Struthio camelus: one gene and its partners. The protein of the gene in region 3 interacts with the protein of the main gene of each other region in a pairwise test. Links are inferred from orthologs where the notes say so. Each region holds a gene or a part of one and is shown on either strand. Other genes may lie near its edges.

Evidence for each region.
Region 1: the proteins of ATXN1 (region 3) and STAM2 interact in binary tests that used the Homo sapiens proteins (3 or more experiments, as listed by UniProt). The link is inferred for Struthio camelus from reciprocal best matches to the Homo sapiens genes ATXN1 and STAM2.
Region 2: the proteins of ATXN1 (region 3) and CPSF7 interact in binary tests that used the Homo sapiens proteins (3 or more experiments, as listed by UniProt). The link is inferred for Struthio camelus from reciprocal best matches to the Homo sapiens genes ATXN1 and CPSF7.
Region 4: the proteins of ATXN1 (region 3) and ZHX1 interact in binary tests that used the Homo sapiens proteins (3 or more experiments, as listed by UniProt). The link is inferred for Struthio camelus from reciprocal best matches to the Homo sapiens genes ATXN1 and ZHX1.

What each region holds. Positions count from the first base shown.
Region 1 is NC_090947.1:44,678,636-44,686,117, reverse strand, and holds the start of STAM2 (signal transducing adapter molecule 2), read left to right. Parts: upstream 1-4,465; 5' UTR 4,466-4,576; coding exon 4,577-4,622; intron 4,623-4,647; exon of another isoform or gene 4,648-4,917; intron 4,918-7,482.
Region 2 is NC_090946.1:4,000,283-4,007,808, forward strand, and holds the start of CPSF7 (cleavage and polyadenylation specificity factor subunit 7), read right to left. Parts: upstream 3,012-7,526; 5' UTR 2,955-3,011; intron 2,827-2,954; exon of another isoform or gene 2,793-2,826; intron 2,007-2,792; 5' UTR 1,942-2,006; coding exon 1,888-1,941; intron 1-1,887. Other genes in the region: SDHAF2 (succinate dehydrogenase assembly factor 2, mitochondrial), read left to right, coding at 3,173-3,205, 5,757-5,983, 7,024-7,133, 7,328-7,458.
Region 3 is NC_090943.1:99,619,953-99,627,604, reverse strand, and holds the start of ATXN1 (ataxin-1), read left to right. Parts: upstream 1-4,648; 5' UTR 4,649-4,996; intron 4,997-5,782; exon of another isoform or gene 5,783-5,877; intron 5,878-6,425; exon of another isoform or gene 6,426-6,584; intron 6,585-6,645; exon of another isoform or gene 6,646-6,960; intron 6,961-7,027; exon of another isoform or gene 7,028-7,245; intron 7,246-7,652. UniProt on the Homo sapiens protein: Chromatin-binding factor that repress Notch signaling in the absence of Notch intracellular domain by acting as a CBF1 corepressor. Binds to the HEY promoter and might assist, along with NCOR2, RBPJ-mediated repression. Binds RNA in vitro.
Region 4 is NC_090943.1:160,143,054-160,149,952, forward strand, and holds the start of ZHX1 (zinc fingers and homeoboxes protein 1), read right to left. Parts: upstream 3,019-6,899; 5' UTR 2,843-3,018; intron 2,566-2,842; 5' UTR 2,456-2,565; intron 1-2,455. Other genes in the region: ATAD2 (ATPase family AAA domain-containing protein 2), read right to left, coding at 6,618-6,689. UniProt on the Homo sapiens protein: Acts as a transcriptional repressor. Increases DNMT3B-mediated repressive transcriptional activity when DNMT3B is tethered to DNA. May link molecule between DNMT3B and other co-repressor proteins.

The DNA of each region.
Region 1 (7,482 bases), on a different chromosome or scaffold from region 3:
AGGCCATGAAGCATGTGTTATGGGTTATGTTAAACATGAAAAGTACAAAGCCAGCGTTGTCCCCATACAGCAAACGCGATCCCGTTGACTTTATTGGAGATACAGATCCAAATCTCGTCCACAGCCCTGCAGAAAGAATCACTTATATGCTGTCTTGAAGCATACTGTTATGCTATAATGCGATGCAAAGTAGCATACTGGCATTTTTCATTCCCAGTATAACTGCTTGCAGTGAAAGGACAGGGAATTTCTATCTCATGACAGGAAGCTTCTGATCTGAAATTCGGCTTGTACTGTGAAACAACTGGGAATGCATCACAGCCAAATTCTTCACTGCCCATGCATTTATTTAGATAATAGGATATGGCTGGGAGGGCATATGGTGCCAAAGTGAGGCAGATTTGTTCATGAAAATTTGAACTTCATTTTTATATCTACTGCCATATTGGTAGGGCCAGGAATTCCTCATGCGACCTTCCACTAAATACATCACTTCTTTGAGGCAAATTTACTGGGTTTCTGGAAGACTTTTCCTACGTGCCAGAACACCTTTTTCCTCTTGATTCCTGACTGGAACGGATGGGAGGGTAGGAAAGAGAGCTGTGGTCCCATAACGTGCCTAGTCCACCTACCTCTGATTTGCTGCTATGGAAGAAAAATAAGCTGGTAGGAGCTGCTCCACCATAATGAACCACGAGCAGGAAAGGGATGATGCCCCGACCCCACATGTTCTTAGTTTAATGTTCCCCCTTCTCAGGGACATTATAGATGGCTATACCTTTTACATACTGACGTATAGTACTGCGTAGTACTACAAGCGCTCTCAGAAGTCTACATTGCTGGAAGAACATCTCTCAGAGATGCAGGAACCAAGACTTAACACAAAGATAGACATGTCGTTATAGAGCTCCCTGCCTGAAATACAGGATCAAGAGCTGTGGGTGAAGCAGCAGCAGCAGCACTCCCATATAAAAAGTTATGCTAGGGTGGAGGACACTGCCTGGGCTGAGCATCTCACAGGGAAATGTCTTCTGACTGCTCCAGCAGGAGCTGCCCATCATCATGCCCACACAAACCTGGTCTGCCCTGACTGAAAATATTTTTTTTAGAAGGATGTTAAGACCCCAGGACAAACCCTATTAACATGGTCCTTGGTCCTTAGCCATCTAAAACTGTCTCTCTACGTTTGGATGGCTATTGGATTTAGATGCTGTGTGGGTGCTGTGTATAAAAGAACTGGGGAGAAGGGGGATGCATTAATAACAACTGCCTCACCCCTCTCCCTCTTTTTCTCCATGGTGGCTACTGAAAGAAAGATGAACCCCATTGTGTAACACCAGATACAAGAAAAAAAATACGATTAGGTGATGTATTCCAATTAAAAATCAGCTTGTTTCCAAGAGTATTGCAACAGCCATAGACAAAAAAGTGTTTAGGATGATTTTATGAGGAGACTTGAGTGTCGATTGGAATAACAAAGCTAAAGAAAACTTAATAATGAATCAAAGTATTTAAAGAGCAAAGGTATGTTCCATTTACATGCTATCTGTATGTTTATGGTATCTGACTGTCTATAAAGTAAAATATATGATCACAAATGCTCAAGTTTTTCTGTATTTGTTTAATGCATTATCTTCTTTTATGCAAGGGCAAGGGCACAACTGGTACAAAGTCTCTTCATCTGTTGACAAGAGAACAGTAAAAGCACAGCAGTATTAAGAGTGTGCTTCTCTCTGGCTTCTTACTTTTGTCACAAATATCACCTAGTAGTAAAATCAAAAAATTGAGGGGCAGCGTGCGCTCATGCGTACCTTCTGAAATGCTTTACACGGAACTATTTTACGCATTTCTGTGCAGTCAGTGTCTCTCTCTGCATGACTCCTACACAGAGCAACAGCAGAGAAGGAGCATTATAAAAAGAGAAAAAATATTTCGGTAAACAAAAAAAATTGACAAGAAAACTAGGGGTCATCTGTAGAAGGATATGGCATCTAGTCACTTATGAAACAAAATTAGAAGTCTTTCCAAATTGCTGTTGTGCTTTTAGGCACTATGAAAAATCTTTCCAAGAGTTACTAAAGTTTTTAAGAAGCAAACATTTTGTACAATATAAACTATCCTTTAAATCACGTTACAAAAATTAAGCCTTGAAATTAAATGTTATGACAACACATTGCTACAAAAGTAACACTGAAAGATCAGAGTTGGCCAGTTTGAGGTGCAATATGGCACTGAAGAGGGAGAAGCAGCTGACTTCCTACAAAGTACTGGAGATCAGTCACCGATACAGAAACCAGAATTTGCAGATGGGCCTGCTCACATTAAAATATCTGAGATCCAGGGTCATGTACTGCTCAGTACCCAGGGATAAACAGATTATCAGATTTGGAGTCTGGAAAAACAGGTTTAGAAAAAACATTTTGTTTTAATAGCTGTTTTTCTAGCCTCCTTTGTCGTGCTTCCTAGGAGTTCTCCTTAATGAATAGCTTGTTCTTGCAGGATTCAGGCTAATTGGCAATGCCCTAATTTTTTCTTTTCTCTTGCTGAGTTTTATCATTGCTGTGGATTTTATTATTTATGGTGGGATTTAGGTTTATTAAAAGGTGTTGGGAAACGTCCTGTGGCTTGGTCACGGGGTCCCCTAGAGCAGAAGTTCTCTGGATGCTTCTGGGCTATATGTCACTGCATGACTTCCCGAAACTGGGGCTCAGACTCAGTACAGGTGGTCCTCTTCAGTCCTCCGTTTCTAAAACGTATTCACAGAACTCAGATGTATTGATCGTTAAATAAAAAACAGAGCAAATGAAGACATGAAGATTTGTGACATTCAACTCAATGTTAAGGTGACAAAAATAATGTTACAGGATTTTAAAAATCAAAGAAGCTATCCATATCCATTTATTTGCATGTGCAACTGCTGTGATTATTGCACAACATGTAATACTGTGGAGAGTGACAGAGCTGAAGTTAATAAAAGAGAAAACCCATTGCCTTGAATTATGCAATTTGCTATTTCAGCCAGCTATTAATGTTTATTGCATTTCTGTACAAATTGATTCATCCTTCCTCTTTAAGGCAATTAAACAAATTAGTGCCATTTTTATTCAGCCTGATTCACTAAGTGAAATTGTAAGTTTCAATTTAATTAGTAAATTGAAGACTGAGGGAAAGGAGCTCCATTTTGCCTTAAAAATTTGACAGCAGGAGTTCATTTCCAGAACTCAGCTCAGTACTCTTTAACTACGGTCATGAAAATGAAGCAATGTTGCCACCTACAGACTACCTGAAGCTATCAACACGGTGAACAAAACGGTAACTTGCTCTGAAACCGGAGGATAGAAACAGCTGGTGAGACTGAACATACAGTCTTCCAAATTAATATGCAGAGGCAATTTTTAATCAACAGAAACGCTGCATATGTTAATATTATATCATTACAAGCTCCGGATGATTTAAAATAATGGTTTTTGAGGAACAAAATACTCAAGAAATATAACTCTGCCCTCATTTTTGAAGAATCGTCAATGTAGTCTTCAAATACAATTTTATGTCCAATATATCACCTAAAATTCTTTACAAAATATGTTACAAAATATTTTTTAAACCAGTAAGTGCAACTTTTCCACCCTGAAGTTTGAGACATGCGTATCATAGCTGAGGGAAAAACTGTGGTCCCTGAAATTTCAAATGACCAGGGGGGGAAAAAATTCACCGAATCTCACAGGAATGCTTTCAGGAATCTTGTTCGCCGTATTTTCAACGTCCTGATTTTCTCACAGAAACACTGCCGCTTCAGCATGGCAGCGCCTCGCTTTTCCATGAGTCCAACGAGAAATCAAAAATCGGCTCGGACTCACGCGCTGACGCTCCCGGGCCCACGACTCAGGACTCAGGCTCAGGACTACTCTGACAAGCGGCTGTAAAACTTAGGACGGGGCATATTCCGGCAGGCACAGGGTGCTGGGCGCGACGCCACTGACTCACGCACCGGCGGGCAGGGACGCTGCTGACGGGAGGCCGCGCTCCTCACAGCGCTCCTCCGCTGTTGCGCACCACGTTTCTCCGCCCAGCCTTTCACACGACCGAGCGTGGGCTCTCAGGCGTCTCTTAAAAACAAGGGGGGAAACGGCTGCGCGGTCGGGACCGCACCGAGCAGCGGAGACGGAGTGGGGGGGATGGGGGCGGCCGAGGAATAACGGCCACCACAGGCGCCAACGGCCGCCGCAAGCACCGCCTCAAGATGGCGCCCCCGCCCCGACGTCACAGCCCGCCAACGGCGCCCCCGCCCCTCCGCCCCTCGTGGGCGGGGCCGCGGCGCTCGGCCTCCTGCAGCCCCGCCCTCGCGAGGCCCCCGCCGCGCCGGGGTGTCCGCAGAGCGCCTGCCGCCTGCCCGCCCCGCTCCGCCCACCCGCCGCCGGCGCGGCGCGTCCTCCTTGGCGGCGTCAGGCGCGGCGGGGGCAGCCGCGCGGGGGCCTTGGCGGCGGGGGCGGGCGGGCGGTGTCTCTCAGCTGAGGAGGGGGCGGGCGCCGCCGCCGCCGCCGCCGCCGCCGCCGCCGCCGCCGCCGCCGCCGCCGACATGCCGCTGTTTGCTGCTAGCCCCAACGCCTTCGAGCAGGACGTGGGTGAGCCAGCGGGGCCGCGGGGGGCGCGGGCGGAGGCCGGCCGGGCCTCGTCGCCTCTCGTCTCCGCGGCGGCGGTGGGGCTGTGCTGTGCGGGCCAGGCCGCGGCCGGCCACCCACCCCACCCCCCCCGCGCGGGGCGGCCGTTAACGGCTGGGCCCTCAGCGGCGGTTACTGGCAGCCGCGCGGCGAAACTGAAGGGGAAGGGGGGGAGAAAAACCAAGCCTGCAGCTTTCTGGCGAGGTTAATGCTCTGCGTGTTCGTAGTGTGTTTAGCTTGTCCCTTCTGGGCATTAAAGGTGAGAAATCAACTCTGTTAATGGCAGCAGGATCGGCTTTTTCTGCCCGTTTCGGTGTCTGCTACTGAGGCATCAGCTGGGAACTGATGTGGCAGCACCGAGTTGAGCCGGAGCTGCCATTTCTTGCCGTTACAAAACCCCGAGGCGGCTGGGCTGGGCTGGGGTTGGTGCCGCTGACAGGGCGAGGGTGCTGACTCAGCGGCTTTTTGTTTGACCCCTCTGCTCGGTCTCGAGCATCGCACCTGTTCTGTGTGGTTCTTCTTAAAATAATGCCAGTTCTGAATCTGCGGCACAGCAAAAAACAGTTGAAGTAAGCTGGATGCCAGAGTCAGGTTTACATTTGTTGATGCCCTGGTATTTTAGGTAAGAGAAGAATTCAGCATTCCTGGGATTTCTGTCAAAACTGGAATATATACTCATGGAAAACATTGATGTCTGTGCTCACGTTACAACACTATCTCTTTTCTGTGTAGAATAAGTCGCTCTGTTTTCTTAACGTGTCTTCAAAATTTGCATAATAAAAGCATTCCCTTTCTTTTTCTTTTCACAAACCGTCGTGAGATTGTAATGTTGACCTATGATTAAAATAAGGTAGAAACTTGTCAGACCAGCTGTATATGGGCCAGTTATTTCAAGTATCTTGCAAAGCTTTATCTGTGTTCCAGCCAGAGGTATCTTTTAAATGGCTCTAACTGATGTATTTGCAAAGTAAAGACTCTTTGAACTGAGGACTCTCTTATTTGTGCAGAATTTCTTGGCAAACTTAAAGGCTTCAAGGACTTTCAAATATTATAGTACTTCAAAAGTGACAGACTCTTCACTTACAATTTCTTTAAATATACCTTATTTAAACTTGGTGAAACAGTGTGCACTTACTACAGTTAAGCAAGTGCAGCAGAGTAAGAACTTCTGGCTGGTGAGCTGAGTCATATATGAAGGTGAAGGGATAATGAATTTGGGAGTTTGGCAAGTTGAATCAGCTCAGCAAAAGCGACAAAAATGATAGTGGAAAAGAGAGGCAGGACTCCTCTGCAAAGCTTGATGGGAAGGACAGCAAGCAATTAGGTTGATTCGGTTGTCCCTTCAGACTGTACATCTAATGCTTCCGTTTTTTTGGAACACCTTTAGAAAAACGTGGATAAACAGACTTTTGCTTTGTCACAGCTGGTTTTGCTTCCTTGATTCTGGGTCCTTATGTTTGCTTTTCAGCAGAGCTGCATAGAGTCTTAGTTCCTTGGCATCTGCTCTGGCAGCTTTGTAAACAGTTGTGGTGTCACAGGATTAACCTATGGAATAGCATTTTAGAGGAGCTAGATTTCTTCCCCCTTTTTTTTTTTTTCTTTTTTTCTCTCCTGTTGAGAGGATACTCCGAAACTTCAGTTCTTAAAGGGTTAGAAGCTTTTAAATTTCCTGTCTAGATTTTTTCATAGTTAGTTCTTATGCGCTTGCTGTTTCCCCACTGTTGTCCTCTCTTGTAAATAACCTTCATCTCTTAAGTAGTTTCTCTCTTGATAGAGAGCTAGCCTATTCCCTTTTCTCTTTTGTTAGTCTTCTTTCTTAAGATCGTTGACACCGCCAAGGGAGTAGGGAGCACTTTCCCTGCTAATTTGAACGTTGTTATCCAGACGTGTACCATAGATTGTTCACATCTTGTGTAATAGCATTTAATGCTTCCTTGTACTTTGATGAAATGTTTACCTTGCACTTTTCACTCTAGTGTTGTATTTACCTTTTCTGTGGCTGCTTTGTGTTGGTGGCCCATGTCCTCTTGTATTAGATCCTGGCGTACGAGTCGTTCTCCTGCCCTGTTTTCCATACTCTGTTTCCAGCTGTTCAGTACTCAGTTTCTAGGAGAATCTTTTATTGGCCTTGACTGTGTGCGAGTTTATATTTTCTCCTACTAAATGCTATCTTTTTCCATCTAGTTCAGTCCTCAAGGGCTTCCCTTTCTCCTTACGTGATGTTTTAGTCTTTCCTTGTATGGCCAATACCTTCCAACTTTCTGCTAGATTTATTACAAGACCCTTACTCTTGCTGTCCGTGTCAGCAAGGGCTTTTAATATTGATTTCAAGACCAATTTTGAGGCATTTAGGACGTAAACTCTCCCTGCCATCACTAGAGTGCTTTATGTTAAGAGTTGTCTGTCTTATATTGTGGAATGATCTAAGAACTGTAGCTAGTTACTTACGCATGGCATCCTATGAAATGTTTTGCTGCAATCTGACTAGACCAACTGATGCTTAAATTAGCCTTTGATAAGATATCCTCACGTAGAAAAATAACTGATGTCTGTTACAGTTCACCATGTCTGTCCTTCTCAGTCTGTAGTAATTCTTGCTTTCAGCATTTGGTCTGAAGTCTTGCAAATGTTTGAAGACAAGCTGTAATTGTTTTCTGTTGTTGCTTGGGTCTGTCTTTTTTCACCTTCTTTAAACATAGGGACCACATTTTCCAGTCTTCAGTCTGTGGCTCTGTCTTAACTTATTACAAGTCTTTACTTCTGAATCTGCAATGTTGGGTCATTTCTCTCTTGTCCCTGTGATTATTACTGCTCTGCTCCCATG
Region 2 (7,526 bases), on a different chromosome or scaffold from region 3:
TTCTTCACGCCTTCCAGCACATGAGCCTTCTCTGCCAAGCCAGCCTGAATGCACAGGCAGGACAGGCAGCATTTGACCATCTAAGTGGAAAACCAGCAGTGTGACAGTAATTTTCCTTTTAAGCCCTCCCACCTGTTTGCTCTTCATCAGTTACCCTCCAAGACGTTCAGAGACTTTCCAGATCACACCTGCCGACGCCACATTTCTCCTTCTGCAGATGAAGATATATTATTTATTTTCCTCCAGCTCTTTCACTGTTTTCCTTTGGCATTTAAGGTAATTGTCATAAATGATGGTTGCTGGTTATTTTGCGTTTAATGTATTTCTAAATTCCAGCCCAGCAACCTCCACATGTTTCCTTTTTCCAGACCTTCCATCTTTATTCCTTCAACTGTTTAACTCTACCTTCTGCCTCCCAAGTCCAGGTATACTTTCCTGATTCTGACTGTTAAAAGCTTTTTGCAAGGCAACATGCAAATTAAGACTATTTCTAACCCAAAATAGTTCAATCCGGTCGCATTGTAGTCTTAGATTGTGTAACACATGGGGGATCTGACTTCGAAGAGTTTTGCAGAACCACCCAGGTCTGAAGGGAGAAGTATTTCAGAGCTTGAGGATACTTGTGCAGGGCAGCCTGCAGCTATAGGCAGCGCAAACACTGCGTATTTATTTTGCAACTCACTTTTGCAGTGAGATTTCCATTATTCTGGCAACGTTAGGACCAGATTTGACTTTGCCCTTCTCTAATGTAATTGCTTTCAGTGGGGAACTCCTGCTTCTTCCCAGACAGCTGAAAGCATCTCTCAGTTCTCTCTCATCTCTGAGGCAATTAACACGCTTTTCTGATGTTTCACTTTTCCCTGAATGTTTAACTTAAGGCATATTCTCTCTTGATAACCTCCCGCCTTTCAGAACAAAGGATTTATTGCCCTCGACTCCTCTTCAGCCCTCTGGGAGCTCTAGCCAACTGGCAATTCCTTCTTGTGCTTTGCTTCTAGTTCTTGCAGCTTGCCATCCAGTAAGGACCAACTTTCCTCCATGGTCTTTCCATGGCAGTTTTCAATCTTCCAAGATGTGCAGGCACACCCACTCTCCTCAGTTGTCCAGATCTCTGAACTCTCTAAAATCTGCTTCTCTAGAGGCTGCGCACACACATTCTCCACCATTTCTTTCGGCAGGTCTCTGGCAGTCTCGGCCCCCGGCACCTGAGGCAGATGACCTGCAACCAGCAGCTCTCCGACCATCTTGAGTTACCGTGCAGGTCTCCACGCAGCGCTTCCCCAGAGAGCTCACCACCCAGCATGCACATCTGCAGGCCCGCAAGGTTCAGTGCTTTCAAACTCCCTTGCTACGCAGTCCTCTCACAGATATTCGGTGCAGCTCTCTTCTAGTCTAGACGTCTTATTTCTCCAGCCACAGCAGGTCACGACTATCCACTTTGATCCCCAGTCACCAACAGCTCGGTAAATGTTTTGGTGGAAACCCTGCCTCCTTCTCAACCCTCCCAACTGCCTGAATATTTTGTAACCATCCATGTATTGAATCCCCTGCAAAACCTATAGAAACCACATTTTATTCATGGCTCAAAATCACAGCTGCCGTGATTTGATGACAGTCCCAGTCCTTAGTTTCCCAGAGGGACTCTTCAATGCTGTCCCACTGTATTCCTCCCACACAAGCCACTTCTTCTGCCTGTGCTCAATAAGTACACACACACTAACACCAACCGCTTTAAGCGTCTTGCCAGTGAGCTGGCCAACTCTGGTTAACGTGCTCTTCCCCCCAAAAAAGGGTGAGCTGCTCAAGCAGCTGCCCGCCCTCCCTCTCCCCCCCCCCACCACAGTGGTCCCAGCACGGGGCGGCGCCATGGCCTGGTGCCCCGCTCACCTGATTGAACTCTTCGTCGGCGTAGATATCAATCAGATCCACTCCCTCGGACATATTTCCAGAGACAGGACCGAGAACCCAGGAGGGGACCGGGGCGAGGCAGGAAGACCAAAGGTGCACTGCAGCGGGCGACGGAGGGGAGGGGGATCACCTTAGCGCTGGAAACCTCCTGCGCGCCCCCCCCCCCCCGCATCCCCTTGCCCCACCGCCACTACCAATAGGGTTTTAGGCTTTTTCTCCCGGCAGGCACCAGCCGCGCCGTGCCCAGGGCCAACACCAACTCCTCCTCTCCTAGAGAAGCCCGTGCCCGGGGACAGCACACCCCCTAGCCACGGGTCGCCCCTGGGGGGCCAGCTCATCCCAACCCCCTAGCCAAGATCCAGTCCCTGGGGCCAACGTCACCCCAATCCCCCAAATCAAGACCAAGCCCCGGGGGCAACATCACCCTATTTCCTTCATCCTGAGGGCAGCGTGACCCCCTCCCCCAAGCCCAGATTCGTCCCCTGGGGCCATCTCACCCCCCCCTTGTTTCAACACCGAGAGTGATAAGCACACCAGCCCCCCCACCCTACATCCCCAATAATCCCCCCCCAAAACCCCCGCTCTGGACCCATCCCCGGGAAGCGGATCGTACCCCCCCCGGTGGGGGCACCCAACGCCCGCCCCCCAGCCCGGACCCCTCTCCGCGGACAGCACCCCCCCCCCCCGGGGGAGGGAGGGGGCCACCACCTCCTCCCGGCCCCGGACTAACCCCGTCCCGGCGGACAGTGACCCGCTCCCCCGAAACACCCCCCGGGGAGCAGTCCTCAAACCGCCCCGGGACAGCGCTACCGCCCCCCGGCCCCCCGCCCCGCCCCTGCCCCAACGGCGGGGGGAGGGGAAGGAAGCGGCCGGTCGCGCCCTACCTCCCCTCCCGTCCCCGGCGGCGGCGGCGGCGGCGGCGGCGGCGGCGGCCGGGCCCCCCCCCGCCTCGGCCCTGACGCGGCCCCGCCCCGCCCCGCCCGTTACCGCGCGCGGCCCCGCCTGGCGAGCAGGCCCCAGCGCGCGCGCGCGCCGCCCGCGCTCACCACTGCCACTGCCACTGCCTCCGCCGCCGCCGCCGCCGCCGCCGCCGCCGCCGCGCCACCGCCGCCGCCCCGCCCCTTCCGGCGGCGGCCCCGCCCCTTCCGGCCCTCCCGCCCGGCCGCCCCCCCCCGTAGCTCGCGTCGACGCGCGCCGCCGGGCCATAGAGCTGGGCTGCCCCGCTTCGCAGAGCGGCTCCGCGGGGCGGCGGCGGCCAGGCGGGATGCTGAGAGCCATGGCCGTGGCCAGGGTGACGGTGACCTGGGGGTGGCCTGGGGCAGGGCTGGGCTGGGCTTGGGAGGTGAGGGGCGGTGACCTTGTGGGAGCAGCTGGGGGGCAGCTGAGAGGGATGGAGCCAGAGGGATCGAGGAGGGTCCGGGGCCAGCAGGGCCTGGGGAACCTGGGGGGGCCGTGTCTGGGCTGGGGGGGCAGCAGGGTCTGAGGAGCCGTGTCTGGGCTGGGGGGCCTGGGGGGGCCGTGTCTGGGCTGGGGGGGGGACAGCAGGGCCTGGGGGGCTGTGTCTGGGCTGAGGGGGCAGCAGGGTCTGAGGAGCCGTGTCTGGGCTGGGGGGCCTGGGGGGGCCGTGTCTGGGCTGAGGGGGGCAGCAGGGTCTGAGGAGCTGTGTCTGGGCTGGGGGGGGCAGCAGGGCCCGGGGGGCCGTGTCTGGGTTGGGGGGGGACAGCAGGGCCCGGGGGGCCGTGTCTGGGCTGGGGGGGGACAGCAGGGCCCGGGGGGCCATGTCTGGGCTGGGGGGGGGACAGCAGGGCCTGGGGGGCTGTGTCTGGGCTGAGGGGGCAGCAGGGTCTGAGGAGCCGTGTCTGGGCTGGGGGGCCTGGGGGGGCTGTGTCTGGGCTGGGGGGGGCAGCAGGGTCTGAGGAGCCGTGTCTGGGCTGGGGGGCCTGGGGGGGCCGTGTCTGGGCTGGGGGGGCAGCAGGGTCTGAGGAGCCATGTCTGGGCTGGGGGGCCTGGGGGGCCGTGTCTGGGCTGGGGGGGCAACAGGGTCTGAGGAGCCGTGTCTGGGCTGGGGGGCCTGGGGGGGCTGTGTCTGGGCTGGGGGGGCAGCAAGGTCTGAGGGGCCGTGTCTGGGCTGCGGGGGGCAGCAGGGTCTGAGGAGCTGTGTCTGGGCTGGGGGGCCTGGGGGGGGGCCTTGTCTGGGCTGGGGGGGGCAGCAGGGTCTGAGGAGCTGTGTCTGGGCTGGGGGGGGCAGCAGGGCCCGGGGGGCCGTGTCTGGGTTGGGGGGGGACAGCAGGGCCCGGGGGGCCGTGTCTGGGTTGGGGGGGGGACAGCAGGGCCCGGGGGGCCGTGTCTGGGCTGGGGGGGCAGCAGGGTCTGAGGAGCCATGTCTGGGCTGGGGGGCCTGGGGGGCTGTGTCTGGGCTGGGGGGGCAGCAGGGTCTGAGGAGCTGTGTCTGGGCTGGGGGGCCTGGGGGGGCTGTGTCTGGGCTGGGGGGGCAGCAAGGTCTGAGGAGCTGTGTCTGGGCTGGGGGGCCTGGGGGGGCCGTGTCTGGGCTGAGGGGGGCAGCAGGGTCTGAGGAGCCATGTCTGGGCTGGGGGGCCTGGGGGGGCCGTGTCTGGGCTGCGGGGGGCAGCAGGGTCTGAGGAGCTGTGTCTGGGCTGGGGGGCCTGGGGGGGGGCCTTGTCTGGGCTGGGGGGGGCAGCAGGGCCCGGGGGGCCGTGTCTGGGCTGGGGGGCGACAGCAGGGCCCGGGGGGCCGTGTCTGGGCTGGGGGGGGGACAGCAGGGCCTGGGGGGCTGTGTCTGGGCTGAGGGGGCAGCAGGGTCTGAGGAGCCGTGTCTGGGCTGGGGGGGCCTGGGGGGGCTGTGTCTGGGCTGGGGGGGGCAGCAGGGTCTGAGGAGCCGTGTCTGGGCTGGGGGGCCTGGGGGGGCCGTGTCTGGGCTGGGGGGGCAGCAGGGTCTGAGGAGCCATGTCTGGGCTGGGGGGCCTGGGGGGCTGTGTCTGGGCTGGGGGGGCAGCAGGGTCTGAGGAGCCGTGTCTGGGCTGGGGGGCCTGGGGGGGCTGTGTCTGGGCTGGGGGGGCAGCAGGGTCTGAGGAGCTGTGTCTGGGCTGGGGGGCCCGGGGGGCCGTGTCTGGGCTGCGGGGGGCAGCAGGGTCTGAGGAGCCATGTCTGGGCTGGGGGGCCTGGGGGGGCCGTGTCTGGGCTGCGGGGGGCAGCAGGGTCTGAGGAGCTGTGTCTGGGCTGGGGGGCCTGGGGGGGGGCCTTGTCTGGGCTGGGGGGGGCAGCAGGGTCTGAGGAGCTGTGTCTGGGCTGGGGGGGGGCAGCAGGGCCCGGGGGGCCGTGTCTGGGTTGGGGGGGGACAGCAGGGCCCGGGGGGCCGTGTCTGGGCTGGGGGGGGACAGCAGGGCCCGGGGGGCCGTGTCTGGGCTGGGGGGGGACAGCAGGGCCCGGGGGGCCGTGTCTGGGCTGGGGGGGCAGCAGGGCCCGGGGGGCTGTGCCTGGGTTGGGGGGGGACAGCAGGGTCTGAGGAGCTGTGTCTGGGCTGGAGGGTCTGGGGGGGCTTTGTCAGCGCTGGGGGGGGGGACAGCAGGGCCTGGGGAGCCGTGTCTGGGCTGGGGGGGGCAGCAGGGCCTGGGGAGCTGTGTCTGGGTTGGGGGGGCAGCAGGGCTTGGGGGGGCCGTGTCTGGCCTGGGGGGCCTGGGGGTGCCGTGCCTGGGCTGAGGGGGCAGCAGGTCCTGGGGGGGCCTTGTCTGGGCTGGGGAGTCTCCCTGACTCCACTGCATGAGGGCAGACAGGCCTGAAGTCTGCTGCACGTCAGGGTATGACGCTTGCGCTGTCTGTGTCCCCTCCAGCAGCTCTGCTCGCTGTCCGGACGGGTGCTCTGCCGGCCTGTTTTGGGGCACGTGTCTGTGCAGTGCGGCTATCGCGGAGACTCCCCCACGGACTCGGGGAAGGACATCCTAGAGATCCCCTTACCACCCTGGCAGGAGCGCCCCGATGAGCCGCTGGAGACCAAGCGAGCCCGACTGCTGTATGAGAGCAGGAAGAGGGGCATGCTGGAGAACTGCATTCTGCTCAGGTGAGGTGCCGGGTGCTTGTCCTCCCACCGGAGCTGCAGCACGCACGCCCTGAGCCCCGTTCCCTCCCAGCTTTTCAGCAAGCCTCTTGCAGCTTCATCTGCCTCCCCTGCGTCAGGACGTCTGGGTTGCTATGCCCTGACAGTGCTCGTTTGTCCGCTGCAGATGGGAGTAGGCAGGGATGGAGCATAGTTTGCAGAAGAGACAGTGCCAACACTAGCCACACCAGAGAGATCAGGGAGGAAGTGAGAAAGGCTGGCCAAGAGGTAGCTGCCGTATAGTTCAGCTCCCTAAAGAAGTTACAGGTTTTTAATTAACAGGGAAGAGCTGGAGGTGCACTAGTGCACAGCCATAATCTAAAACCTAATGAGATGCAACATTGCTAAGGGGATGGAAAGCAAGTATCTGAGGCTCTGCTTGTGAGCAGTCAGGTGAACCGCTGTGAGAGCATCACCTGTACAGGTCTGCGGTGCAGTGATTAGCACTGCTGCAGGGTAGGATGGGACAGAACTAGAGGCCGCCTGAGGCAGGAGATGTCTAGAGGAAGCTCCTCCTAGCGGTAGATCGAGTCAAATTCCTTTGGGAAGGATGTATGCTAGATCTGGGATATAGGAATAGGGCAGGGGAGGGGAGTGTCTCGCCTTCTGTGTCACGAGTACCAAAGGAGCAGTGTGAGATTGAAGGCAGTGATAAAAGGAATTTTTTCCCGTGCTCTCCGAGGCTGGAGGTAGCTCTTTGAGCTCAGAACCTCACAGAAAGTGAGCACCGCTGAAAGCTTCTGGGTTCCAGCAGGGGTTTAGTGAAGTTCATTAGCCAGTTCAGCAGGGCTAAGGCCTCTTGGACTGCAGGACTAAAGAAGTGGTTAATGGCTGGAGAGCAGGCTAGGACTTAAGGCAGAAGACAGGTCACCTTGGATTCAGCTCCTCTATGTCTTCTTGCAGCATTTAGAGAGCTGGGCACCAGGCAGTGTCAGGATCAGCGTGCCAGCCCGGCTCTTCCTGCAGTCACCCTTGCTCATGTTCATATATCTTCTCTCCTCCAGCCTCTTTGCAAAGGAGAACCTGAATCGCATGAGTGAACGGCAGCTGAACCTCTATGACCGGCTCATCAATGAGCCCAGCAATGACTGGGACATTTACTACTGGGCAATAGGTACAGTGCAGCCGTCTGTTGCCCTCCTGGCTCTGACTGCAATCTCCTGCCCTGATTTGAGGTTCAGGGCAAGAGACGAGGCCAGGATCGCTCTGGGGTGCAAAACATTGGGCTTGGCATGGCTGGCGTCATGCTGAATGCTTTGGGAGAGGGTAGAGCCAACCATTGTCGTGCTGCCCCTTTTTTTACTGCAGAAGCGAAACCCACGCCAGCTGTGTTTGAGAACGACGTCATGGCCATGCTGAAGGAGTTTGCCAAGAACAAGAACAGGGAGCAGAGGCTGCGGCAGCCAGATCTGGAGTATCTCTTTGAGTCACCCCGCTGATGGCAGGGCTGCCTTCTGCCTCCTCATCTCTTGGAGCTGTGCAGGGCCACCAGGGTCTCTGTGGCAAC
Region 3 (7,652 bases):
ATGATTTTTTCAGAGGCCACTACAACACGTAACTCGGCATGATGTGGTAAAATAAAAAAATGAACAGCAGCCTTTCTTTGGAATCTGCTTCCAAAGGACCTCAGCATTTTAGACCAAAAGTTTTTCTCTTTGAGTCGTACTGTAGTACTACATACTTGCTTAGTCTTCATGAATGCTTAGCTCTCATTTCACTAAATGTTAATTTGCATGAGATACTTGTGGCTTTAAAGAGACAGCATTGGCTCTCTGGGTCTGCCAATCTAATTCCCTTCCATCTGAAAACAATCACAGTCGGAGCTCTGGAGAACATCCTCAACATCCCTATTCTGATAGGGGCTACACTCATTTCTAAGAGAACGCAGAGAAAATAAAGATGTTAGTCACATGCCATTATGTTCACATAAGTGGCACTTCAAGTTAAAGAATACATTCCAAATATGTTCTTGTGCTGATCGTGTTCATTTTTAACTTCCCTGAGGAAAGTGTACCTTAATTAGTCTGCTGTAATCCAAATTAGAATTTCTCATATGTTAGAGCTCCTAAAATACCTTAAATCAACTGCATATGTCTGAAATAAAAATGAAAATAACTGCATTATTGAAAATTATCTGAATACAAGAGGGCTATAAATAGACAGGAGGTGGATTGGACAGTCGGCAGATTCTGAGTTGGAATAAAAACATCGTACTTAAGCCAAAAGCATGGCAACCGATATTTTCTGTTATAAAAATATTTGAGATGAATTTAGTTTTTATGAAAGCTGTCTGAAACTGAAATGGATAGCAGAAATTCTCTGTTTATTTGCAAGCCAGTATTAATACCTGAAGCACAAAGCAAGACACCTTAAGAGCAATGCCAACAAGCCTCTGATTGTATTCAAAAATCCTTTTTTGCCACAGGAGAAAACTGATTGTACGTTCATTCTCTTTCACAGTAACCTCCACCTTGGTAATGCCTGTCACTTGAGCAAAGTGTATGACAGGTCTGTGAAGTGGATTACTACTGTCCACTAGAGGCTGTAATGAGACCAACAATGTCATTTTATGACAAATTGAAGACTTAGACTGTAATGATTGATAATTTTAAGATTATTTTTCACACGCAGTACGTCTCTAATCACTGGATTTCCCTGGGTGCGAATGTTAAAAAAAATCCAACTTCTTATGCCTCGTATTCCCTCATTTTTCATAGTTAACTATTAATTGTATAAAATACGCAGTGTAGATGACACAGTACAACTAGTGCATTGAAAGACAGTTTCTTCTAGACAGTGTGCACCTTCCATGTCAAATTGATTAATGGCTTTTGGTCAAGAGCGCATTCAGCTGGGAGTCATATCACTTTTGGCATGTCACCAGCAGTAAATAAAAATGCTGGAGTCTACGTGTGTTCTTGCGTCCCACTCGCCACTGCAGTATCTGAGCCCCGTCCACACTGCGCTCAACCACGTGACTAGCATCTGTCCTGGATTTCGTGGCTCACTCTCTCCCCTGAGGGCAGGACAGCCGGTAACAGAATAGGTTGTTTTGGAATTTTGCTACTACTTTGGGGTCCACCCCTGTTGCTATATGCCCTTGTCAGAGGGGGCAAGGTGAGGCAGTTTAGGGCAGTTCGGAGCTGCTGTGAGAGCCCGTTTGACGTACCCGGGCTAGCCCTGGAGCAAGACCTCACCTCTTTGCTGCTGAGTTGCCTCCCTCTGCTGTGAGAACCTTCCTGGTGGCAGGTAAATTCAGGTTTATTCTCTGTAGCAAGTGACTCCTTCTCTTGGGGCATAGTCCTGCACCTCTGAGTCAATAGGCCACACTGCCTTAGTACACACTAAGCGACCTTTGCCCCAGCCAGTCACCACAGATCACATTCAAGTGCTGTTTCGCAGCCCCTTGGCCCTCAGCAGCCCTTCTGTATGTTGTGGTATAGAATAGAGAATAGCTGGAGTCCCAGTATAGGCCCTGAATAAAGGAACTGCAAAGGCACAATGACATCTCGTGATATGGTAGTATATCCTCTGGGCCAGGCAATGTTAAGGGAGGCATGATAAGGGGAGTCCCCATCTCTTTTTCGCCTGTTATGCACCCGACATATTCCCAGTCAGAAGAAGGCGAGGAACGGCTTATGAACCTGAGGTGGTTGGCTGGAGTTATGGCATTTCCCAAAGCTACGGTTTTAAGGTTGCCTGCTGGCTCAGGAAGACAATATTGCTTTGATTTCTTACTGACTTACATTTTAGGGGTCTCTTTTCAACTCTGAGGCAGAAACACAGGCAGAGATTTAGGAGCTCAGCGCCTCGTGCGTGGCAAAAAAACGTGGGTCCTGTGGCAAACACCATAGCCGCAGAACGGAGAAATAACACAAGCCTCTTACATGAGCCTGCTGCAGAAGGGAAAGTTGCCCAAAGCTTGCTTCAGCATGAATGTGGCTTCTCTTTCCCGGCGTGTGCCACACCTCTTGGCAAGGTGAGCGAGCGGCTGAGAAGGAAAGATTCCTTTCTCCTGAGGTAACACTCTGTGCAACTGGAATAAAAAAGGTGGCGGACGGGAGACTGCCGCATACTCAGACATGAACCCTGGTGACGGGGTTGCAGCTTCTCCAGGGCTTTCACTTGATTTTCAGTAATCCTCAGTCCCTGTTTCTCTCCCTTGGTTACTTTTGGTAAATCAATGAACCTTGCGTTAGCTGGTTGAAGATAATTTTGCTTTCTGCTTTGCTGCTGGATATGCGCTATCACATGGTGCTGAGTGGCAGGTTTGACCAGACATCTTGGCCTGTTGCTGCTCCTATCCCCAGATCACTCATAAAATGGAAGATGATGTTGGATTTCATAGTGAACCTGAACTAAAGATGTAGAGGCTGCAGTAGTAGAAGATTCTTACGCTTCATAAAGTGAGTCTGTATTCAGTATCTACTCTAAATCAAGAGCGCTGCAGCTTAAAATGTTATTATTACATTCTTTAGCAATTACGGTGAACTAGCACAGTTGTTTATAGAAGGGACGACTTGCTGATCAGCAGAATGACAGAGAGAGTCCTAGGGTATTTTGCATCTAACCTCTAATGCTAGAAATATCTAATGGACACATATATCTACACTAGAATCTGCTCCCTTGGAGTCTGTTGTGGTGTGGGCAAATTGGTACAAGCTGCAATGAGCAGTCTGGTCTGAATGGACATATTGCAGGGAGTCCACATACACTGCTCCCTGGAGCCTTTCCAAGGCTTGTGCATTGGTGCATCTATCGCACAGCCTCCAGCTCGGTGGAGCAGGCATATAATTGCCTTCAGTATTTATGCAACGGTTTTGCAATGTGGTGGTGGCGGGGGGGAGGCTTTCTCCATGCGGCACGTCCCTTCCTGATGCCAAAGCAGAGCACGAGTAGTTGCTTATGGACCCGCTGTCAGGTTGCATGCAAGCCTAACAGCCCTACCATCCTTTGGTTGTATTCTTCCCATTTGTTTCTTCCATTAATTGTTTTAATTTCCTTAAACTGTACCCGTCTTGGTAATATTGTGTTTTGTCTTTTCTTTTCTCCTAAAACTTGGAAGACCAGACTGAGCCAGTCCAGAAAGAGGACATTTACTTTGGTCTCCAGTTTGCATCTGTGTTTGTTGTTTGCCCATCACTGCAGTTTATGAACTACGGAGACCCATGTTGAGAGCAGTAAGGGGCTAACGAGCTGATGCTGGAGCATTGTGGAAGTGTAAACTGCCTTAGCCAAGGGGAGAGTTCGGGAGGGACTCACGGTGGTCTGTGTACAGCTGGGAGAGATGTGAAGGGATCTTGGATGAAATGCGTGCTAAGCATCTGGAGAGCCTTAGTACCCAAACATGCGTGGTTCAGCCCTGACTGTCTTGTAGTTCAGTGATGATATGAGTCAGACTCTCTTTTGGTCTGAATGAAGTAGAAGGTACTTTTTGCAAAGCAACTCAAGTATATGCCAAGGATCTGGATAAATAAAACTAATTCAGAAAACGGGAGTGGGATGCAGGCTCTTGCTCAAAAACACTTTGCAGTTCTCCACAGCGAAATGCAATATGGCATCTTAAATAAAATCACCCCTTTCTGACTCTCACAGAGGCTGCTTCAGAGCATTCCCTGGCTTCCAGCACAGTTTTATTTCCTCCCTTAGAGAGGCAGACCAGCCTTGATTGAGCCGCTGATTTTCATGCATCCCTTAAACCAGCATTCCCTGCCATTTCTGAAGGACAGCATGCTTTGCTAGTCGGCTCTTCTTTCCTTGGTAAGCCATATAGTTTTTTTTTTCCCTTTGGCCTTCCTTCCCCCCTCCCCCCCCCAAATGTATTTCTTCCTGCTTGCAAAGTGCTCGGCGATCCCGAGGAGCAGGCGGTTGTGCACAGCAGCGGCGTGCGCACACGAACCCCGCCGCCGGGAGCCGGCCTGGCCTTTGAGGTGTTAAAAAATAAAAGGGCGGTGGTGGCGGCGCAAGGGGCGACGCGGCGGCCCGCGGGGCGCGCAGCAGCCGCCGCCGCAGCAGCAGCGGCCGCAAAGGGTTAAGGCGGCGGCGGCGCTGCGCGGATGCAATAATCTGTGTGGCTCTGCTGGCCGCCTGCCAAAGCGCTGCCTTGCCTCCTCCTCCTCCTCCTCCTCCTCCTCTCCCTGCTCTCCCCCCCCCCCCCCCCCGTTTGCATGAAGTAGGATCCTTGAGCTGTTGCAGAGGCAGCCAACTGCTCCATATTTGGCTTCTGTTACACATTTACATACTGGAGAGAGAGAGAGAGAGAGAGAGAGAGAGGAGAGGGAGCGAGCTCTGTACCGCAGACATCATTTCTACTACAGTGGTGGAGACATCCCGGACCTGTGTCACTGCAGGGGGAAGGAAAAAAACCAACCAACCAACCAAACAACAACAACAACCACCACCACCTCCCCCCCCCGCCCCGAACAAGCAGCCCCAAGCCCTGTGAGCAGCTAGGAGGACATTAGTGCGCGAGTCTCCCTCTGGCCCCCCCCCCGCCAACCCCACCTCCACTGACACTTTACAGTAAGTGGCTTTTTTCTTCCTCCTCAGCTTTTTTTTTTTTTTGTGCCTTGTTTCCATCCCCCCCCCCTTTCCCTCTCCCCGGCTTCTTCCCTTGTTTAGACTGCGAACCGCCAGCGATTTCCAGCTGGAAAAACACAGGGTTGCGGGGGGGGGGGGGGGGGAGCGCACCGCCCGGGCCCGGGCCCGGGCCCCGGCCGCGGGGGGCCGCGAAATGGCCGAGCGCCGCCGCCGCGGGAGGGGGCGGCCGGGCGGGAAATGTCCTCCGAGGGGAAGGGAAGGAGCCGGGCCGGGGGGCGGGGGGGGGCAGCCCCGCGGCCGGAGTTGCTGGTGAGGCCCTCTCTTCTCCGCCCCCCCCCCCCCGCCGCACCTTCCTCATCCTCCCAACCCCCCCCCCCCCGCCGCGGCGCGGCGCGGCCCGGCCGGGGGTGTCGGTGTCTGCGGGGACGGTGGACATTTTGCGAGCCGCGGCCGCCCCTGGTGCGGCGGCGGCGGCCTCGGGCTGTGTGTGTGTGTGTGTGTGTGTGTGTGTGTGTGTGTGTGTGTGTGTGTGTGTGTGTGTGTGTGTCTGACTGTGCGGGGAGGGGGGTTGTGGTGGTGTGTAGTGGTTGGGGGGGGGGTGAGTGTGCGGCCGTTGGCGGCGGGTGGGGAGGTTGTGTGGCTGTGTAGTGCGTGCGGGCGGGCGGGCCCGGCGGGGCGGGGGCCCGGCCGCCGCCGCCGCACGGCGTCTGTAGTAGGGGCCGGGCGGCTGCCGGAGGGGTGAATGAAGCGGGGGGCGGGCGAGGCGGAGGAGGCGGCGCTGCGGCGGGGCTGTGCCCGGCAGCGGCCCCGCGCCGCCGCCGCTGCCGCACGTAGGGGCCCGGGCCGGCCGGAGGCGCCACCTGGTACTGGCAGCGCGGGGGGAGGGGGGCAGGGGAGAGGGGCGGCCGGGGCCGGGAGGGGGCCGGGTCCCCGCTGGCGGCCGGGGTGCTGCGGGAGCCCCGTCCGGGCGACGCTGTCCCCCCCCCCCGGTTATTATTATATATATTTTTCTGACTTGTTGAGATCTATTTATTTATTTGCCTGAAGCGGCGGAATTTGCCGGCGTGAACGCAGATAAATGACTCCCTCCCTCCCTCCCTCCCTCTCCCCCCACCCCCCAATCCTTGTTTTTAGACGCCTGTAGGTGCTGAAGCCGTAAAATGCGGTTCCTTGAGCATATCGGAGTCTTAATTTAAAGCGTGCTGGAAAACGTTAGCGCCGGCTGTAATAGTAATAGCGGTAATAATCAAATGACAGAATGGGGAGCGATTTACATGTTACTGAAGGGGAGGAATTGCTGAAGAGTAATAATAGAAAAGAAAACAAGTCGGAAGCCCGTTATATAATGCACTATGTAGATAACAGGAACGACGGGCTATTTTTATTTTGTTTACCGTATGCTGTGTAATAGGGACTCCTCCAAGCAGCATCTCTCCCCTGTGAGCCTGAACTCCAGGCAGAATTAGCAGAAATTACAAGGCATTCCTGTTATGCCCACACGAAGGAAGCTAGCTTGGTAAAACGTTGCTCCTTACAGATGTATTTTGTGGACGAATCAGGAATTGTGCAGGTAGGTGACCTTTGCTGGAGATCTTGTCCATTTCATATGGTAAAGAAATTTGTATTTTGTAAGGCAAGTTGCATTTAACCTTTACTGTTCATGGTAATGTATTATTTTATGCGGTAATGGTTACTTTACATGTCAGATGTGGTCAGGCATAGTGAGTTACTTCGCTTACGTGCTGGGAAGTCAAGGACTTTTAATTTCGGTTTCGATTGAAAGCTTTCATTAAAGGAAAATCCAGCCTTCACGTTAATCTATTTCTCTTTGGGTGATGAAGACAGTTCAGCTTTGTAACAGGGATCAAAGGTTGTGAATGAGGGAGAAAAGAAATTGAGACTGGTCGGGGGAAAAAATGCCGCACTGGAGTTGTTGCTGAGGTACGGTGAGAGAACAGCACGATGTAGTTTTTACGTTATTGCCCCTAATTTGTCCGTACAAACGGCCCACTGTTTTACAGGCAGCGGTGCTTTCTGGAGGGCGACTTTACTAGTCGCACGGCTTTTTTACGTAAGGCGGAGGTGGATAGATCCCCTCCGGCTCTCGCCCGTCGCTCCCGCGTAGCTGCGTGCCGGTGGCACAGGTTTCCAGGGCACCTACTCCAGCCCCCGTCGCTCCGGTAATTAGATGAGGCTGCCATGGTAACAGACGGTATTTCTCGTCCGTTCAGGTGTGCGTGCGCGTGTGTGTGTGTGTGTGTGTGTGTGTGTGTGCATGCGCGCGTGCGCCCGCTGTGTGCCCGGGCCACCTCGCGGGGCGTGCGGGTGGTATCGCCCCGTGCAGCCCGGGCGGCCCCTGGCTTTACCCCGCGGGATATCGGAGGATGCCCCTGAGCGTTTCCCTCCTTCGGCCGGAAAATATTCCTTGCGTGCTGTAGTATCAGGCATAGTATATGGTGTGCGTATCGAGTTAGCCAAATCGTCGGTTCCGCTTGTGCCGATTATTAGCGAATTAGCAGAGGTGTGGTACTTCCTTTAAAAATCCTCTTCGTTTATAAAAGCTCGCATAAAAGTTTCTTCAGAGTCGTCCTTTTGTGTTGGCTGGCTGTTTTAACCGCTTGCAGGCTGAAGTGGTTCG
Region 4 (6,899 bases), about 61 Mb from region 3:
CATGACTGAAAGAAACAGAACTGGAAGGGAAACATCAGTTAAAGTGATGCAAGGCACAGAATTATGAAATGTCATCTGGTTGGTACAGGATAAGAAACTGTATCACTTTGGGTGGCTTTCATCTCCACAGGAAAATAAACAAATGTTTATGCAGCAAAGTGGTTTAGATGCTTGAGAAGGTGCAAAGTTAGAAGCACCAAAAAAAAAAAAAAAGAGAGAGAGAGAGGGAACAAAAAGTGGAATAAATGAGTAGTCAGCAACATAATAAAGATACTGAAAACAGAAGTAATCACATCCTTTTAGTGGCTTGAAGAAAGAAGCATCTTTAATAGCTAATTTGCCAATATCAGAAACCTAAATAATAAAAAAAAAATTGAATTCTTATGGGCATATATTCAACCAAGTTGATATTACTGACACATAGAGGGGAGATACACATGACCAGAATGCCAAAAACCAATATTGCTGCCTATTTAGGAAATATCAAATGAACAAAAGAAAAAGGGGAAACGGTACTACACCGAACATGGCATCGCTTGTTTACAAGTCACTGACAACTCAGGGCAAACCATCTTGGACTTCTATGGATCAGTGGCCTCACATATAAAGCACAAGAAGGAGAGGGAATACTGACCGTTAATTTACGGAAGAGATCAGAACGCCCAGGGCCTCATGCACCCCGCTTAACAACGTTAAGAACCGCCCCCACCATCACAACCCCAAAACTGTTATCACATAGGACTGAAATTTAAGGGGAGAGGAATCAGTCTGTCAATTTTGAAAGAGGCTCAGGCTTTCAGAAAATTAGAGAAGATAATTTCATAAAATTAAAATGCTGCATCTGACACAGGGGAATTCTACATTAGACCTCAGTTTGACAGGTAAAGAACAAATGAACACCAAAACAAAGACGAGCCATAGCTTAGCTACAAGTGAGCATGATTTGATTACACTTACTGTGTGCAAACAGAATGAAAAACCAGCTTGTAAGTACTTGGTGCTTTAAAAGGACCAGCTTCATATAGCTGGAAAAAAATTCTGAACTCAAGCTAAAAGAGAGAATCTGACTTGATAAGACTGATAATTTTTCAAATATGACCTCTCTAAATTCCAAAGAACTCATCTCCCAAACAAAACGGCCGCAAAGGTTAAACATAACTAGACAAAAAATTGAATCAAACTGTAACCCTCTCTTTCACACTACACGTAACAAATGGGAGAAAGGGGAGAACTAAGTGGCAAAGTTCAGAGGCAGTAATAAGCTTAAGTCGAAAGATACACATGGTTAAATGAAGCAAAAGATGCAAGGAAACCGTCTTTTCAGTACATTAGGAACAAAGAGAAACCCCAGACATAGTACAAAGTCCATTATTTGTTAGTGATGCTTCAGTACCGAGAAATCCACAAAAGGCAGAGATGTTCAACAAACAGCTTTAGAAGTCTCCAACGACCTATTCATAGGCAGTGATAAATATTCTCTATTCCAACAGTAACTAAGAACGGTAAGTGACAGCAGTCAAGGCTAGACGCCAGAGCACTTGATGAGGCTGAAGCACGCACAGGTCATCAAGGGTGTTGTCAGAAAGGACAGAATCCAGGAAAACTCCTAAGAACCATTAAGAGAGTAGGAAAGCAGGCCTTGCAAGGAAGAGCGCTGCCTCAAACCGTTATGCTTAACAAAGGCAAGTTTAGGACAATCGCAGCAGACGCCTATGCTAACCAAAAGGGGAGAGCAGAGGGCTTGTCAGTCTAGCAAAGACAGAGCAAGTGCCAGGACCTGAAAGTTAACGGCAGATCGTTTCCGCTATAAAACATAGCATCTATTTCTCATCAGCTGAGAGGAATTTGTGGAACCTCACAGCTGAAACGCGCTGCCTCCCTGACCACGTCTCAACGCAGTGACGGGAGGGTTTCCTGACGGTGCGTGCTCGTTCAAAGAGGTCTTTGCTTAGGGCAGCCCTACAGTTTGCGTCGTACGGGTTGTTTTAAGCAGCTGGAACGGGCTCTTTTCTGTCTCTACGCGAGCCCCAAAGCTTCTTTTTTTTTTTTTTTTTTTTTTTTTTTTGCGTGCGAAATCCTTCTGAACAAAACCAAACAAGACGACTGCTGGTCAAAACCAACAGGGCAGCTTCTAAAAATTCCCGTCTCTAACTTTAACAAAACATCAGTGTCCATGTCACAAGTTCCATAACGAAATCCACTTCCATACGCACTTTTGACGTTCCCAACACGCTCTCTGCTCATCTCTATTTAAAAAAAACAAAACAAAACAAAAAAACAACCGAGCGGCACCTCTTCCAGCTGGCAGACCCATCCGCACCCCGGCCTTTCCGCTTTCACCGGCGCCCGGTGCAAAGCGAGCCCCTTGGTCCCTCGGCTATTTAAACCCCCAAGAAAAGCAAAGCGGCTCAAAACATGAAGCACGGGGAAAGCAGGAAAGCAAAAAATGAAGTACCTGCCCGGGAGCGCTCGCTGTTGCGGATATCCCGAGTCCTCCCGGGGATCCAGGGCCGCCTCCGTCGCGCCGTTTACCGAAGTGGCTCCCGATCGCCGGCGCTGCGCATCCTGCGGCGGGGGAGAGCGGAGCGTCAGGCCGCGCCCGGCGCCTCCGCGCCGCCTTCCCCAAAACTTCGCCCGCGGAGCCGCCGCGGGCAGCGCAACGGGCGGGCGGGCGGCGGCGGCGGTGGGGCGGCGGCCGCCCCCGCGGGGCGCACCTGGCCCGCGCCCGCCGGCTGCTGCTGCGGCGGCGGCGGCGGCGGCGGGCGGGAGGGCGCCGCCTGCCGCGGGGCGCCCGCTGGCCTCCCGCCGCCCGCTCGCCCCCGCCGGAGGGGCCGGCCCCTACCTGGCGGCGCCGCGCTGCCTCCTCGCCCCCGCCGCCGGCGCCTCCGCCGCCCGCCGGCCGCCTCCCCTCACGGCCGCGCCGCCATCTTGCGTTTCACAAACTACTGCACTTCTTTGGCGGCGGGGGGGCGGCGAGCGAGCCGCGAACTCCCAGCGCCGCCGCCGCCGGCCGCCCGGGCCCTCGCCTCGCCTCGCCGCGGCCCGCGGCGCCCACTCGCATCCTCCCGGCGCCTCGCTGCCCCCGGGCTGCGCGGGGAGGCCGGGCAGCGGCGGCCGGAGCCTCAGCCTCCCTCACAGGGAGCGGGGGCGGAGCCGCTCCGCCGCCCCGCCCGTGAGGCGGCCGGCGGGCACCCGCCGCAGGCCCCGGCCCGGGGAGCCCCCGCGGCCCTGCCCGGGCACCTGCGGCGCGGCCCGCGGCTCCCCGCGGCGGGCCGGGGCAAGCGGCTCGGCCCCGGGCTGCGCCTCGGGCACGGGAGAAGGCAGAAGAAGCCCTGGAGGCGACAGGGAAGAAACCGTTAACGAGGCGGCGTTGGATCAGCAGCAGCTTCCACCAACTCCTCTGAACCGAGATCTCCGCATACATAGGAGGGATGTGAATCTGATATGTACCTATATGTGTACGTGCGTGTGTCTGTGTACACGTGCATGTGATTTTTTAAAGCTAGCATCGGCTTTAACCTCACAGCTTTTCCTTCTCTGCAAATCTGAGATTGCGTTAGCGACGGCCAGTCTGTCACCAAAGCAGGGAGTTAGCGTACGGCCCAGCACCCCCGCGCCGGGCTCGAACAAACTGGCACAGAATTAAAGGTTGGTTTTTTTTTTTTGGGGGGGGGGGGGGAAGGGAACTATAAAACCAAATAACGTGGGTTTTTTTATACCTCCTATCAGAACTTGGGGAAAGAGGACCTCTTCAGTTAATACGCCCCTCAACGGGTTAGTCAGGCTTTAGTTTAACTCCTGCCACACGCACTTTTTGAAACGTTCTGTTTAACATACTAATCTTAAGCAGTAGTTTGCAATTTGGGGTCACACTAAAATTTAAGTTTCCTCACAGTAGGAAGAAAAAAAAAAAGCAATAGCATCACACCAACCTTTAAGATTTACACATCTATACATTTTTAAAACAATATAGGTACTGTTTCCTGCTGAGGCTAGCAGTACATAAAAGTTGAACCAAAACTCTGAAGTTTTGAGCAGAACACTGTTTCTGATTCTTCGTTTGCCATGCTTTTTTTTTTTTTTTTTAAAAAGTTCAAGTAAGAAATTTCCTAGTTACCATACAATGAGCTAGCAGCGACTCCCTGGTGAAAGGTGCATTTTGGATGTCAGGCTTTCAACTTCACCTTGAAGTGGTAAAAAAGGATTTTTTTGCTTCAATAATTTTTTCCCTCTCCTCTCCCTGGAGGATGAAAGCTTCCTGTTGTCCACTGAACGTGTCCTCTACTGTGGCTTTCAGATTCAGCATCAGCATACAGCGTTTTTTCGCTTACATACACATGCACTCTTGAAATCTGGAATTTTTATTTTCCAGGTACAGGTGAATCCTGGACAACACTTGCATCCGTAACATACCCAAGGAAACAACTGAACTAAGTTATATTGTAGGTAAATACAGGCAAATCATATGCCAGGTAAGTTGCATGTTTTATGACTGAAGTAGATGTAATTGTTAAGATAAGGAAGTAGTGTACTATGCATAGAAGGACACATGTCTCAGTGGAGGCAGAAGTTTATTAGACCGGCCTAAGAAGGTGAGCTGCTGCTTGCTTGCTCTAGGATGCTAGCTAGCATCCCAAAACTTTACCCTGCAGAACTCAGCTATAGGAGAAGGGCGATCGTATAGTTAAAGCAAAAAAGGAGGAGAGAAGGACAAAGAGACAGTGTCTACTCTTTCAAGCTTTCCAGAAGCTATTTCCAGTCTTCCTTCTCATAATTTCTCAGCCTCACCCCCATTATACAGGATTTTAAAAAAAGTAATCTTGGAGAATAAAGATCAGCAAACCATACAGACCAATCCTGCCAAAAATCTATGACAGCCACCAACTAAGTTGGAGATCAAGCTAAGGCAAGATGAGATGGATTCCTTCATCCCTCAATATACATTTTCTTCCTCTCATGTTTGCTTCTGCCATATAACTGATTACCCCATTCTTGGTTTAACTGTTCATATAAAGTACTTGCACTTAAAATACCAGTGTAAGTCTTAAGACTTACAAGTAAGGTTTTTAATGCTCAAATTATTCTACAATTAAAACTGACAAACTCAAATGATGATTCACTTTTTAATAATATACATCCAAACACTACCGACAGAAGAAAAATTCTGCATAGTACACAAATGTTTGGGCACACATTGAAGAGAAAAAGATACGAAAACTAGAAAACTTACATTCAGAGATTGCACAGTTAGGCATTCAGTATCACTAGGTGTTATGTCATATCACATACACAACAGCAACATGATACACATACTTTATTGTACTTGTTATATATTTTCATTTTCAAAAAAATTTAGACCATCTTATTCTCAACTGCTTTTAAAAATAACTGTCAAATTAACTTAGAATTTTTTTTCTTCTGGATTGAAGAGGTATCCATCTTCAATAAAGGGTATTGCTTTAGTATTATTTAAATATATTTATCAGCAATAATGTATTTAGTTTTAGGTAATACACAAACATAATACTCTCCAGAAGACCAGAAAACTATTTACAATTTAATTCCACTGTAAGCCACCTACACGTGCAATTAACAATTTATATTAAAATTCTATTCCGTGGTATCAAGATTGTCAGTATTACAAGCAAGACTAAACTTTACTTTAGAATCTGTAGAATCTTGCTTTCTGGGTTTTTTTTTTTTTTTTTTTTTTTTTGGACAGTTAAGCAAAATATGTCGTAGCAAAAATACTTACGTTTGTGGAAACAATGTTCCTCCCACACACTTTCTTTAGGTTGTTAATTTTATGAAAGCCACTTGAGGTGCTATCAGGTGATTAAAAAAATTACATCTGAACCAGATTAAGAGGTTTCTAAAGGATTTACTTTTCATATATCAGAATAAGATTTGTTTTAAAGCCTTTATGTAATATACAATGGAACATACAGCACCACAGATGACTTCAGAAAAATATACTCTAACAAGTTGGAAGAAGATGATAAAAGTGTATCAAGTTTTCCAATGTTTTATTTTAAAAGAGGCACTTAGAGTACCTGGAAGATGCTCAAATCTACAAAGTTCCAAAGGCACTGACAAACATATGTCACAAAAAAAGACGACAAAACTTTAAGGCAACGCATATTGGAAAAGAAAGCTGAACACACTGATCTCAACAGATCATGTATAATCCTTCTGTCCAGATTTACTATCATACAATAATGTATAGGACAAAAATATCAAATAAAAGCAGTTAAAGGACTTTATTTGAGCCTTTTTAATATACTTTAAGATATATTTGTTTTATATATGTATGTATACATAATATATATATTTAGAAGTACTTTTTACTGAATTATACACAGGTAACAGAACAGCATGCAATGAAAATAAAACATTACGGAGCAGAAATCAAGTATTCTGAAGATCACATTACTGAGCACAACGGAAGGTTGCAATTTCTTTCTTCATTTCCTAATAAAAAAAAAAAGAAAACAAACTAGGAATAAGCGTGAACAAAAGTTTAAGAACCCTGCTGTTTATTTCTTCATACGAAGTTAAAGGATCTGTAAATACATACAACTGTTGGTGATATTTAGCAAGAACACGTGCTGAAGCCGTCACAATGTTTTTATATTCTCTGTAGCTTCCGAGGCATTGCTGCGTGTCCAAAATAGAATAGGATACAGAGCCTGTATCAACAGTTGTTTCAACAATTAGGAAGGCGATCCTTCCTGAGAAGTCACAACTGAAAGCTGAAAAAGTTACTCTGTGCACGCTGAATAATTAATTTACGGTAGCTACTCGCACAGCACATTCAGAATAGGAGAGACTGTGTTTAAAGCTAAAGAAAGAAGTAGAAAACAAAGAAATCCAGTCACCTTTAATTTGAGCATTACGAT